2 linked regions of the Saccharomyces cerevisiae S288C genome follow. The gene in region 1 interacts genetically with each later gene. Each region holds a gene or a part of one and is shown in the gene's direction. Other genes may lie near its edges.

Region 1 (6,945 bases):
TCTTTGTGTGGTTTGTTGAAAATGGTAAAAAATGAACAAGAATATACTGTATAAGAAAAATCAAGTCTCCACCTCAACCCACAATATTGTTATATATATATATATATATATATTTCCGTGTGTGTACAACATATTTCATCAGTAGTCTTGTACTTGACCACACACGGAACTGAAATGAAACTTTAACGGCAACAATTCAATAATAGTTGCTCTTAGATCTCCGTACAAGGAATGGTTAATTTCCGTATTTTCAGGTGGCATCAATACCATAATGTGTGAGTGCCAGCAAAAGATAGTTTTACAGGCGGTTCCTGCATTGCTTTCTGAGAGGGATGATCTGAAAACTATCCGTCGAAGACGCATAAGCGCGTCCGCTATTTTAGTAACGATTAGTAATCGAGCATTTAAAATTGACATTATTGGATAAAAAGAATACGTTATATCGGCCGGAGGATCCAACTTTAGTAGAAATAGAAAGATTTGCCGCGCAGACTATCATTTTCAGTTTAAATCCTCCACAGTATCAGAGTAGGCATCAAGGATGCCTTCCTTTGCTGGTACTCTGGGAAAATGTACCAGTTGGCAACGCAGGCGAACCAATAAACGAAGATTTCGGTCATTTGTTTTGCCGTCTGACCTTCTCAATTAGATTATGTCTTGGCAATTATACGAAGCTTGTGATTTTAAAAATGAGCCATGAGCTTGTTCGGAGAAGAGTCGCCTAAGGTACAGTGTGCACAGTTTTGCTTTTCAACGATGAATGCTTGAGCGTGGCGAAGAAAACCTTGCGGGCTTTTCGAAAATGTAAGGAATAAAAATGAAGTTTCCTGATTTATAAGCAAGCAATCACTGAACGAGAATATCTTGTAGTTAAGTGACTATCAAACGAGCATGAGGGTTACAAAGAACTTCCGTTTCAAAAATGAATATAATCGTACGTTTACCTTGTGGCAGCACTAGCTAACGCTACGTGAATGAACGTACCGTGCCCTATTATTCTTGCTTGTGCTATCTCAAGAATTGCATTTTGTAATAACAACTGCATGGGAAAAATTATATAGATTTTCTACTATTATGTCCGCCTAAGTCAGTTAACCATCTTTATCACAAAATATACAATTAACCAACTACTTAATCAATTCGGTTATATTGCTTAGTATATACGTCTTTGGCACGCGATTGAAACGCGCTAATTGCATCAGCCTATCTTTCTATGCAAGAATGCAAGAAAAATTGATGTGATGTGCCTTATCACAATTCATTACCTCCTATTTCCTCTGCAGCAACAAGTTTCCTTGATTATAAAGGTCTTTAGCGTGAGAGGTACAGGTGTTATGGCACGTGCGAATAAGGGCAGAAATTAATCAAATTTATCAACTATTTGGCGATGGCTCGAGACAGGTATAGAACCACTACTAGGTGATATTGAGGCTTTTGTACAATTTATAGCAAGTTTTTGAGAGTCCCTTCAAGTTTGTTACATAATCTTCTTTGTGCAACGTACAAGAGCAAAGTAGAAAAATTTGGTTTTTATTTTTTTAAGCAACATCAGCTGCACTAGTTGAGCTTTTGACAAGACATACTGCTCAAAAAATCTTCATAACATTATTTTTCGGTTCCACAGTGATTGAGCTTTTTGAGAGAATAACCCTTTGGAGGCAACATAGATAGATAAACGTGCAATGAAATTCGGCAAGTATTTGGAAGCCAGGCAGTTGGAACTGGCGGAGTACAACAGCCATTTTATTGATTATAAGGCTCTAAAGAAACTTATCAAACAATTGGCCATTCCCACGCTAAAGGCTAGTTCAGATTTAGATTTGCATTTAACATTAGATGACATCGACGAAAAAATTATACATCAGAGACTGCAAGAAAATAAAGCTGCCTTTTTTTTTAAACTAGAGAGGGAGCTGGAAAAAGTAAATGGTTATTATTTGGCGAGAGAGTCCGATTTAAGAATAAAATTCAATATATTACACTCAAAATATAAAGATTATAAGATAAATGGTAAGCTAAACTCAAACCAAGCTACCTCATTTAAAAACTTATATGCGGCTTTCAAAAAGTTTCAAAAGGATCTTAGAAATTTGGAGCAGTATGTTGAGTTAAATAAAACGGGATTTTCAAAAGCTCTGAAGAAATGGGACAAGAGATCTCAATCTCACGATAAAGATTTTTACCTTGCTACTGTTGTTTCCATTCAACCAATTTTTACCAGAGATGGGCCACTAAAATTAAACGATGAAACTTTACATATTCTCTTAGAGCTGAATGATATTGACAACAACAATAGAAGGGCAGACATACAATCCAGTACGTTTACTAATGACGATGATGACGACAATAATACCAGCAACAATAATAAACACAATAATAATAATAACAATAATAATAACAACAACAACAACAACAATAATAATAACATATTACACAATAATTATGAATTAACAACATCAAAGATTTCGGAAAACCAACTTGAACATCTTTTTCAAGCATCTTCCTCCTCCTTGGACATGGAGATGGAAATCGAAAACTGGTATAAGGAAATTTTGAATATAGCCACGGTGAAAGATGTTCAAAGAAAGCATGCACTACTAAGAAACTTCAGAGAAACCAAGATATTCACATATCTGCTACAAAATTCCTCAGAATCTTTTCATAAAAATGTCTTTTCTTTGTTGAAGGAGTGCTTAACGACGCTGTTTTTATTACTGGTGGCTAGTCCTTTGGACGATAACTCTCTGCATATTTTCTATAAAAGCAATCAGGATCATATTGATCTGTCATATTGTGACGAAGATGATCAAGTATTTTCACGAAAAAACGTATTTCACGAGGCTGCAAGTTGTCCAGAAAAATCACGCTTATTTATTCTAGATGAGGCTTTAACAACATCAAAGTTATCTAAAGAAACAGTACAAAAACTACTGAATGCCCAAGATATACATTCGCGGGTGCCGCTACATTATGCTGCAGAGCTAGGAAAACTGGAATTTGTTCACTCGTTGCTAATCACCAATCTTTTAGAGGACGTTGATCCCATTGATAGTGATTCTAAGACACCCTTGGTTTTGGCTATCACTAACAACCACATAGATGTTGTTAGGGATCTGCTGACTATTGGTGGTGCGAACGCATCACCCATTGAAAAGCCAATTCTGGATTATAGTAAGAATGTAATCAGCTCTACTAAAGTCCAGTTCGATCCTTTAAATGTTGCTTGTAAATTTAATAATCATGACGCCGCCAAGTTACTTTTAGAAATTCGGAGTAAGCAAAATGCTGATAATGCCAAGAACAAAAGTTCACAACACTTGTGTCAACCGCTTTTCAAAAAGAACTCAACAGGTTTATGCACTCTTCATATAGTGGCAAAAATTGGCGGCGATCCACAATTAATTCAACTATTGATACGTTATGGGGCGGATCCCAACGAAATTGATGGGTTTAATAAATGGACGCCCATTTTTTACGCTGTTCGTTCAGGTCATTCTGAAGTTATTACTGAACTATTGAAACATAATGCACGTCTGGATATTGAAGATGACAACGGCCATTCGCCACTTTTTTACGCCTTATGGGAGAGCCACGTTGATGTTTTGAATGCACTTTTACAAAGACCATTAAATTTGCCATCTGCACCCCTGAATGAAATAAATTCGCAGTCTAGTACGCAACGCCTTAATACAATAGATTTAACCCCAAATGATGACAAATTTGATTTAGACATTCAAGATAGCATTCCGGATTTTGCTTTACCACCGCCAATCATTCCACTAAGGAAATATGGTCATAATTTTTTGGAGAAAAAAATTTTCATCAAATTAAAGTTGAGGCCAGGTCTCGAGTCTATCAAGTTGACTCAGGATAACGGCATTATTATGTCATCATCACCAGGCAGAATTACTTTATCCTCAAACTTACCTGAAATAATACCGCGAAATGTTATTTTACCTGTTAGATCTGGCGAAATTAATAACTTTTGTAAGGATATCAGTGAAACAAATGATGAAGAAGATGATGATGAAATTAGTGAAGATCATGATGATGGAGAGATAATTTTCCAAGTAGATTCAATCGACGATTTTTCAATGGATTTCGAGATATTTCCTTCATTTGGCACAAGGATAATTGCCAAAACAACGGCAATGCCATTCCTTTTCAAGAAGGTGGCAATAAATAGTATTGCAACCATGAATTTACCCTTATTCGACACAAGACTAAATAATATTGGATCTCTCACTTTGGATTACCAAATTATTTTTCCTTATCCGGGAAATCCACTGAAAATCATAAATTATGAGCCGTATTGGAAATCTACAGGAAGTGATTTAATGACCTCTAGTAAAGACGGTAATTTTGTTACTTCTTCATCGTTGAATGGCAGTTTTATTAGTGTATTAGTTTGCGCTCTGAATGATGAAACCATAGTGGCTGCGCCAAAACCATACGTTGAATTCAAAGGCACGAAGATTCTGTTAAATGATTTAACGAAAGAACAATTGGAAAAGGTAGTGGATTATGACTTCGGTAAAATTGATGGAAGCTTCGATGAAGTAACATTGAAACAATACTTATCTTCGAGAGTGGTGCCTCTCAGAAGCCTACTAGAAGTTATTCCCGGGTCAGCCCAGCTGGTAATTCGTGTATATTTTCCTACAGATAAGGAAATTGACACAATTCCCATCAAAATATCGCCATTTATAAATATCAATCAATTCATTGATAAGCTTTTACTAATCATTTTCGAGCATGAACGTTTTTTGCGTCACAGCGGAAGTGGGAGTATGCGCCAAATAGTTTTCAGTTCATGCAATTGGGAAGCTTGCTCGATCCTTAACTGGAAACAACCCAATTTTCCGGTTTTGTTGCAAATGAAAAATCTACTCAGAGATTCAACCACAGGCAAATTTGTAGGTGATACTCCTAATTGTTTAAAGGAACTGGCCGTAAATCCTCAAAAAATGTCGTATTTAAACACGGAACTAATAAACATACATACAATGGTTCAATTTGCTATGAACAATAATTTGTTAGGTGTAACGCTTCCATATGAAGTACTGAAGATATGCCCGTCGTTGGCTAGGATCATCAAACAAAACGGACTACTGTTGATTGCATCGGTCGGGGAAAATGACCAAATACCAGCTGATGGAGGTTACAGCGGGATCTACTACGCTTGTGAGTTGCTTTTTGAGAATAATATTGATATGTAAAGTTCTGTAATATGTAGTTTTGAAATCTTATACATTATTTAGGAAAAACTTTTTAACCTGTTCATTAAGGGCAACATCTTCTGCCTTAGCGCCTTTATTATCTACAAGATCATATTCTGCACCATACTTTTCCACCAACAATACAGCTGCGTCACCGTGCCCTTCAGCCAAAGCATGAAATAGTGGGGTCCAACCCTGCTTATCCTGCCAATTTACAGCGCTTTTGCCCAAACCGCATAATAGTTCAATTAATTTCAAAGAACCCACCGACGCAGCTCTATGCAATGGAATTTGATTAAATTTATCTTTAATTCTTACGGACGCACCATTTTCAATTAAAAATTGGGATACTTCAAACCATTTCTTACCAACTGCCAAGTGCAAGCATGTAACTCCTTGATTGGTTATCTTATTTAGATCAGGCTTTAGAGGTCTGTCGTAAAGAGACTTTACCACCTCCAAATTCCCCACTGAACAAGCAATATGGAAAGGTGTCCATCCAGAATCATCTGGATAATCATCTAAGTTAACATTTTCCATTTTAGAAAGCAAAAAACTGGTAATTTCATGTGCTTGGAAAGAAACTGACCAGTGTAAAGGGATTCTGCCATCCTGGTCCTTCTGTAGCAACAAGGAAGGTTTGGAGTGTAGCAGCTCTTGTACCTTGAAAAACTCATTTTCCATGCAGGCTTGATGCAAAGGATAATTAGACATGGTTATACAGTTTTAAGGGCATGCATTTATGTAGCATTTATTATCACAGCTTCAGCTGATCGTTCTTTAAAGAACCCTTTTATGAAGGGCCCTTCGATCATACTTGACAGCCGGGTAAGAGAGATATTCTTTGTATAGAAATGAAATCAGATTACATAAAGCAGTGTGCAATTTGAGTGGCCCCATTTAAATACTTTCTACTTCCTCTATTGCTATGAGTAATACTGCGATGTGGCCGTATCCGTTTAGTCGATATTTTAATAGCTTGCATGTAATTGTGTTGCATAATCACTATCAACGACATAGAGTGGCAAACTTTTCTTGTATCGCTCATTTTGGCATCTAAGGGAAATAATAGCAAAAAAGGGCAATTCATAAACCATAAAGGACATCAGAAGAGTTTTACAGGGGAGGTTGTATTTTAGTAGCTCACGAAATAAAAGCAAGCGGCTGCTAGAAAAGAATATAATTTAGTGCTGATGAATAGATCACCTGGTGAGTTCCAAAGGTACGCAAAGGCGTTCCAAAAACAATTGTCCAAGGTACAGCAAACCGGAGGCAGAGGTCAAGTGCCTTCACCAAGGGGGGCATTTGCAGGCTTGGGAGGTTTGCTTTTACTCGGAGGTGGTGCACTGTTCATTAATAATGCACTGTTCAATGTAGATGGTGGTCATAGAGCCATTGTTTATTCCAGAATACATGGTGTTTCCTCTAGGATATTTAATGAAGGTACTCACTTCATTTTCCCTTGGCTTGACACACCAATTATTTATGATGTGAGAGCAAAACCTCGTAATGTTGCTTCTTTAACAGGTACCAAAGACTTACAAATGGTGAATATCACCTGTAGAGTACTTTCAAGACCGGATGTGGTGCAATTGCCCACCATATACAGAACCTTAGGTCAGGATTACGATGAAAGAGTGTTGCCTTCCATTGTTAATGAAGTTTTAAAGGCTGTAGTGGCCCAATTTAATGCGTCACAATTAATCACTCAAAGAGAAAAAGTTTC
Region 2 (7,851 bases), 110 kb from region 1:
TGAATCGCAAGGAACTTCCGGTAATATTCATATTGCAGAGGACAGAGGTATCATAATTGATGATTCTGGTCTAGATGAAGAAGACTTATACTCTGGTGTTGATAGAAGAGGAGATGAGTTGTTGGCCGCTTTAAAAAGCAATTCTAAGCCTAATTCCAACAAGGGGAATAGGTATGTCCCACCTACTTTAAGACAGCAACCTCATCATATGGATCCAGCAATTATCTCTTCGAGTAATTCTAACAAAAATGAAAATGCCGTTTCCACGGATACCTCTACTCCCGCAGCAGCAGGTGCGCCAGAGGGAAAACCCCCACAAAAGACTTCTAAGAATAAGAAAAGTTTGAGTAGCAAAGAAGCCCAGATTGAAGAGTTGAAGAAATTTTCCGAGAAATTTAAAGTTCCATATGATATTCCAAAAGACATGCTAGAAGTCTTAAAAAGGTCAAGCTCTACATTAAAATCTAATTCTTCGTTGCCTCCAAAACCGATCAGCAAAACCCCTTCGGCCAAGACTGTTTCTCCTACTACACAGATTTCTGCAGGGAAATCAGAATCTAGAAGAAGTGGCAGCAACATATCTCAAGGCCAATCATCTACCGGCCATACCACGAGATCTAGTACTTCATTGAGAAGACGTAATCATGGTTCCTTTTTTGGTGCCAAGAACCCTCATACTAATGACGCCAAGAGAGTGTTGTTCGGAAAAAGTTTTAATATGTTCATCAAATCCAAGGAGGCCCACGATGAAAAGAAGAAAGGCGATGATGCCTCGGAGAATATGGAACCCTTCTTTATTGAAAAACCTTATTTTACTGCGCCAACCTGGTTAAATACAATTGAAGAATCGTATAAGACATTTTTCCCAGATGAGGATACGGCGATTCAAGAAGCTCAAACTAGGTTCCAACAACGCCAATTGAACTCCATGGGCAATGCTGTGCCTGGTATGAATCCAGCTATGGGCATGAATATGGGCGGGATGATGGGCTTTCCGATGGGAGGTCCATCGGCATCACCAAATCCGATGATGAATGGCTTTGCTGCTGGGTCAATGGGTATGTACATGCCATTTCAACCTCAGCCAATGTTTTATCACCCATCTATGCCTCAAATGATGCCAGTTATGGGTAGCAATGGGGCTGAAGAAGGAGGAGGAAATATTTCGCCCCATGTCCCTGCAGGTTTTATGGCAGCTGGCCCTGGCGCTCCTATGGGTGCCTTCGGGTATCCAGGAGGGATACCCTTCCAAGGAATGATGGGATCAGGTCCATCTGGCATGCCAGCGAACGGGTCGGCAATGCACAGTCATGGCCATAGTAGAAATTACCATCAAACTAGCCACCATGGCCACCATAATAGTAGTACCAGTGGCCATAAATAGTGAAGGAAGCACGTCAGAAAAAGCAATATATAGTAATAAATTCATGCACTTTATAAATATGGTATATAATCAGTGGTACTTACTTACCCATAAATAATGGAACTTTTAATTTTTATGGGAAGGATACTGGATTTTCATTTTTTTCATTTTTTTTGGAACAGGGTACTGAAACTTTTCTTTTTGAAAAAAAAATAAGAACTGAAGAATTTCAATGAACTGGAAGGCTCATCCATTTTTTTTTTTTTTCTTCAGATAGAACAGGCTTTAGCAAATTTTAAGTAATCAGTATTTCAATCGCCACAATCTCAGGCTACATTGAACTCTGTAGGCCACCGATAAATATTGCGGGATAATGAGTAAACGAATTCAACGAGTTTCCTATTTTGGTATTCTATATTTTTTCATACACCTAAACGATCGTAAACATTTGTTGTCAAGATTTACGTTTCTTCGAGGTCTGTGAAAATAGAGCAAATTGTTACTTAAAAGACAACAACAAATGTGTAGGGCAATTCTGCAGTAACAGCAATGTCATTCCTAATGCGTACAAACAGTACTGAGACTTTCAAACGAATAATAACTTCAGCAATAAAAATTGTCCAGGTTAATTATGGAAGATATAGAAGGATACGAACCACATATCACTCAAGAGTTGATAGACCGTGGCCATGCAAGACGTATGGGCCACTTGGAAAACTACTTTGCTGTTTTGAGTAGGCAGAAAATGTACTCGAATTTTACTGTTTACGCGGAATTGAATAAAGGTGTTAATAAGAGACAACTAATGCTTGTCTTGAAAGTATTACTTCAAAAATACTCAACTCTTGCGCATACAATCATTCCTAAGCATTATCCTCATCATGAAGCGTACTACTCTAGCGAAGAGTACCTTAGTAAACCTTTTCCACAGCATGATTTCATAAAGGTGATTTCTCATCTTGAATTCGATGACTTGATTATGAATAATCAACCAGAATACAGAGAAGTCATGGAGAAAATCTCAGAACAGTTCAAAAAGGATGATTTCAAAGTCACCAATAGGTTAATCGAATTGATTAGCCCTGTAATCATACCTCTGGGTAATCCGAAGAGGCCTAATTGGAGATTGATTTGTTTACCAGGTAAGGATACTGATGGGTTTGAAACGTGGAAAAACTTCGTTTATGTCACTAACCACTGCGGCTCCGACGGTGTCAGTGGATCGAATTTTTTCAAAGATTTAGCTCTACTCTTTTGTAAAATCGAAGAAAAAGGGTTTGATTATGATGAAGAGTTCATCGAAGATCAAGTCATCATTGACTATGATCGAGACTACACTGAAATTTCTAAATTGCCAAAACCGATTACGGATCGTATTGACTACAAGCCAGCATTGACTTCATTACCCAAATTCTTTTTAACAACCTTCATTTATGAACATTGTAATTTTAAAACCTCCAGCGAATCTACACTTACAGCTAGATATAGCCCCTCTAGTAATGCTAATGCTAGTTACAATTACTTGTTGCATTTCAGTACTAAGCAAGTAGAACAAATCAGAGCTCAGATCAAGAAAAATGTTCACGATGGGTGCACCCTAACACCCTTCATTCAAGCGTGCTTTCTTGTAGCCCTGTATAGACTGGATAAGCTGTTCACAAAATCTCTTCTCGAGTATGGGTTCGATGTGGCTATTCCAAGCAACGCAAGAAGGTTTTTACCAAACGATGAAGAGTTAAGAGATTCTTATAAATACGGCTCCAACGTTGGAGGTTCGCATTACGCCTATCTAATCTCCTCATTCGACATTCCCGAAGGTGACAATGACAAGTTTTGGAGTCTTGTCGAATACTACTATGACCGCTTTTTAGAATCGTACGACAACGGTGACCACTTGATTGGTCTGGGGGTCCTACAACTTGATTTTATCGTTGAAAACAAGAATATAGACAGCCTTCTTGCCAACTCTTATTTGCACCAGCAAAGAGGCGGTGCAATCATCAGTAATACAGGACTTGTCTCGCAAGATACGACCAAGCCGTACTACGTTCGGGATTTAATCTTCTCGCAGTCTGCAGGCGCCTTGAGATTTGCGTTCGGCCTAAACGTTTGCTCCACAAACGTGAATGGTATGAACATGGACATGAGCGTGGTTCAGGGCACTCTACGGGATCGTGGCGAATGGGAATCGTTCTGCAAGCTCTTCTACCAAACCATCGGCGAATTTGCGTCGCTTTAATGCGATACTGCCGTAGCGGGCCTTCGTATAGCTCGGCCGAGCTCGTACAAAAGGCAAGCAGTGTATCGGACAGAGCTGATATAACACAATACGCTCGTAGTCGATGCATGCCGTGGCTGCTCTCGGTCGGGTATAAGTCTTAGACAATAGTCTTACCTCGCATGTATAATAAATCTTTTGTATTTAATCTATTATATGTTTCTATGCTTTTTTTTCCTATTGTTGTTTGCTTTTCCTTTTCCTTATTTCTTTCTAGCTTCTAATTTTCTTTCTTTTTTTTTTTTTTTTCATTGAAAATTATATATATATATATATATCAGAACAATTGTCCAGTATTGAACAATACAGGTTATTTCGAACAATTGAAAAAAAAAAATCACAGAAAAACATATCGAGAAAAGGGTCATGTCTGCTGTTAACGTTGCACCTGAATTGATTAATGCCGACAACACAATTACCTACGATGCGATTGTCATCGGTGCTGGTGTTATCGGTCCATGTGTTGCTACTGGTCTAGCAAGAAAGGGTAAGAAAGTTCTTATCGTAGAACGTGACTGGGCTATGCCTGATAGAATTGTTGGTGAATTGATGCAACCAGGTGGTGTTAGAGCATTGAGAAGTCTGGGTATGATTCAATCTATCAACAACATCGAAGCATATCCTGTTACCGGTTATACCGTCTTTTTCAACGGCGAACAAGTTGATATTCCATACCCTTACAAGGCCGATATCCCTAAAGTTGAAAAATTGAAGGACTTGGTCAAAGATGGTAATGACAAGGTCTTGGAAGACAGCACTATTCACATCAAGGATTACGAAGATGATGAAAGAGAAAGGGGTGTTGCTTTTGTTCATGGTAGATTCTTGAACAACTTGAGAAACATTACTGCTCAAGAGCCAAATGTTACTAGAGTGCAAGGTAACTGTATTGAGATATTGAAGGATGAAAAGAATGAGGTTGTTGGTGCCAAGGTTGACATTGATGGCCGTGGCAAGGTGGAATTCAAAGCCCACTTGACATTTATCTGTGACGGTATCTTTTCACGTTTCAGAAAGGAATTGCACCCAGACCATGTTCCAACTGTCGGTTCTTCGTTTGTCGGTATGTCTTTGTTCAATGCTAAGAATCCTGCTCCTATGCACGGTCACGTTATTCTTGGTAGTGATCATATGCCAATCTTGGTTTACCAAATCAGTCCAGAAGAAACAAGAATCCTTTGTGCTTACAACTCTCCAAAGGTCCCAGCTGATATCAAGAGTTGGATGATTAAGGATGTCCAACCTTTCATTCCAAAGAGTCTACGTCCTTCATTTGATGAAGCCGTCAGCCAAGGTAAATTTAGAGCTATGCCAAACTCCTACTTGCCAGCTAGACAAAACGACGTCACTGGTATGTGTGTTATCGGTGACGCTCTAAATATGAGACATCCATTGACTGGTGGTGGTATGACTGTCGGTTTGCATGATGTTGTCTTGTTGATTAAGAAAATAGGTGACCTAGACTTCAGCGACCGTGAAAAGGTTTTGGATGAATTACTAGACTACCATTTCGAAAGAAAGAGTTACGATTCCGTTATTAACGTTTTGTCAGTGGCTTTGTATTCTTTGTTCGCTGCTGACAGCGATAACTTGAAGGCATTACAAAAAGGTTGTTTCAAATATTTCCAAAGAGGTGGCGATTGTGTCAACAAACCCGTTGAATTTCTGTCTGGTGTCTTGCCAAAGCCTTTGCAATTGACCAGGGTTTTCTTCGCTGTCGCTTTTTACACCATTTACTTGAACATGGAAGAACGTGGTTTCTTGGGATTACCAATGGCTTTATTGGAAGGTATTATGATTTTGATCACAGCTATTAGAGTATTCACCCCATTTTTGTTTGGTGAGTTGATTGGTTAACTACAGCTTATAAGGGAGAGAGGATAGGAACCGTCAAACATTAAGCTGCACCTTTTTTTTTTATTACAGAAGTCGGCTTGGAAGGCTTGTATAGTACATTACGATAAACACATCTTATTTTTATTTATTACTTATTTATTTTACATATTTTCAAAAAAATTCACATATCATTTATTATTAACCGAAGTGTTTTATACTTTTTGTTCTTTCCTTAAAAATGCCTCCAACAGAAAAGGAAAAATGGCTTGATATGCTTCAAAATATGCATTGAGATTCATATTCGGTTATCAATTAACGATATTACTTCCTTAAGTGATATTAAATCAAGCTTGCCGGATTCTGCAGTCAGAATTATACATAATAGTATTTGTGCTCTCGTAAATCCTTTCAGAATTACACCATAGTAGTCTTTGTGAATGTTCTACTTATTAGAATAGATTATTGCTAGTTTATCTCACTTTTCATTCCCCATATCCCTTTTTTTGCTCATCCCCCGGGGTATTTTATCAAGATAAAATTTTATATACATGCAGTGCGCGATAACTCCTAGAGAGGCAGTAATAGCAAAACAAAGACAGTATAAGCATTATTTGGGTATGGAAAGACCATTGTGGGTACGTTGGTTGAAAGTCTATGCAATTGGTGGCGCTATTATTGGAAGCGGGTTTCTGCTTTTCAAGTACACAACGCCAACAGATCAACAGTTAATCAGCCAGCTTTCCCCAGAATTACGTTTACAATATGAGAGGGAGAAAAAACTACGTCAGTCGGAGCAGCAGGCTTTGATGAAAATTGTTAAGGAAACTTCTCAAAGTGACGATCCAATTTGGAAGACGGGCCCCCTTCAATCACCTTGGGAAAGGAACGGTGATAACGTTCAAAGCAGAGATCACTTTGCTAAGGTGAGGGCGGAGGAGGTGCAAAAAGAAGAGTTGGCTAGGATCAGAAATGAACTGTCTCAGCTAAGATCTGAAACGGAGGAGAAAACAAAGGAAATAGTCCAGGATAAGCAGGTTAAAAGCTGGTGGCGCTTCTGGTAGATGGGTCGGGTCACTCAATTAGGAAGGGCAGCTTGAACTTTTGCATCCTAAAACATACGTCTGTGTCATTTATGATATATTATTTATTTGTACACTGTAAATAGGTTTAAAAATATAACTTCATACTTATTTTTAGCTATTTTAGTTCCCATACTTGGGGATGGAAAAAACATTGCGCAAGCCCGGAATCGAACCGGGGGCCCAACGATGGCAACGTTGGATTTTACCACTAAACCACTTGCGCTTGTTATTTATATGAGATTATTGCATCATGCAATGGGGTAATGTCAAGGTTCTTGACAATCCTAATATAAACAGTCTTAGGGAAGTAACCAGTTGTCAAAACGGTTTATCAGCTTGATTCACGGGATCTTACTTATCCTATATATTATATAAAATATGGATCATACTAAATGGTGGAAGCGCGGAATCTTGGATCTAAACCAATTGTTCAGATACTTATACGTTAGAGTAGGTTAGCTAAGGAAGGCAGAGTTTTATTTTCATGTTGCTCATTCTGTTCGTTTTGCTGTAAGGTTGTTTCATATGTGTTTTATGAACGTTTAGGATGATGTATTGTCATACTGAGGTATCCCATTCTGAGATACAACAGAGAAGGTTCCTTTATACTTACTACACTAGGTACCACTATTATAATTTCGAGATTTCATTGTCATTCGGGTTTATTTATTCATTTGAAGCCCAGAATGACAATTTTTATGAACGGAGCTCTTCAAATTACATTATAAAAGTATATACGAATATACCATGAAAGTAACACCTTCCGGTTCTCACTAAAAAACCTATTTTCAGCATTTATTTCTACTACAAGGAAAATGAGTCCGTTTAGTCATGCAAAATCTCTGCTCCGTACTACAGTTCTCGATGCTGATCTTGTTTTTTCATGTTTCTTTAAAATCTATTCATTTATACTATTTCGCGAATAAAGAAACTACATCTTCATCATCAATCCTGTGGTTTAAGCCGCACTTCTGAGGAGAATGTTTGGCAGAAGAACCCCAAACCAATGCGTATTTGAACTTATCTTTGAAATCCCTGTGGATACCATGACATAAGTCACCAATAGTGGAATTATTTCTTACCACTAGAGGATCATCAAATACTGGTCTAACACCTCTCTTCTTTGTATACACACGACTCAAGTTCAGCTGGTACCAAATTTCTTCAACGACGTCTTGTAATCCCAAATCCATTTCACAGGACATAACAACGGTGTTTGGCTCTCTGGCAAGTTTATCCACCTCTTCTAATGATACTGCATCTATCTTATTATACACATAAAGACATTTGAC

Evidence for each region.
Region 2: of PHO81 (region 1) and ATF2, extra expression of one rescues a mutant of the other (dosage rescue), as found in Saccharomyces cerevisiae (one study listed by BioGRID).

What each region holds. Positions count from the first base shown.
Region 1 is NC_001139.9:952,948-959,892, reverse strand, and holds PHO81 (Pho81p), read left to right. Parts: upstream 1-1,682; coding exon 1,683-5,219; downstream 5,220-6,945. Other genes in the region: NAS6 (Nas6p), read right to left, coding at 5,247-5,933; prohibitin subunit PHB2, read left to right, coding at 6,413-6,945. UniProt on the Saccharomyces cerevisiae protein: Inhibits the kinase activity of the cyclin-CDKs PHO80-PHO85 and PCL7-PHO85 under low-phosphate conditions.
Region 2 is NC_001139.9:844,580-852,430, reverse strand, and holds ATF2 (alcohol O-acetyltransferase), read left to right. Parts: upstream 1-1,994; coding exon 1,995-3,602; downstream 3,603-7,851. Other genes in the region: PBP1 (Pbp1p), read left to right, coding at 1-1,384; ERG1 (squalene monooxygenase), read left to right, coding at 4,008-5,498; YGR174W-A (uncharacterized protein), read right to left, coding at 5,690-5,776; CBP4 (Cbp4p), read left to right, coding at 6,026-6,538; RBG2 (Rbg2p), read right to left, coding at 7,471-7,851. UniProt on the Saccharomyces cerevisiae protein: Can use acetyl-CoA to synthesize acetate esters from various alcohols, producing ethyl acetate, isoamyl acetate, isobutyl acetate, butyl acetate, hexyl acetate, heptyl acetate and octyl acetate.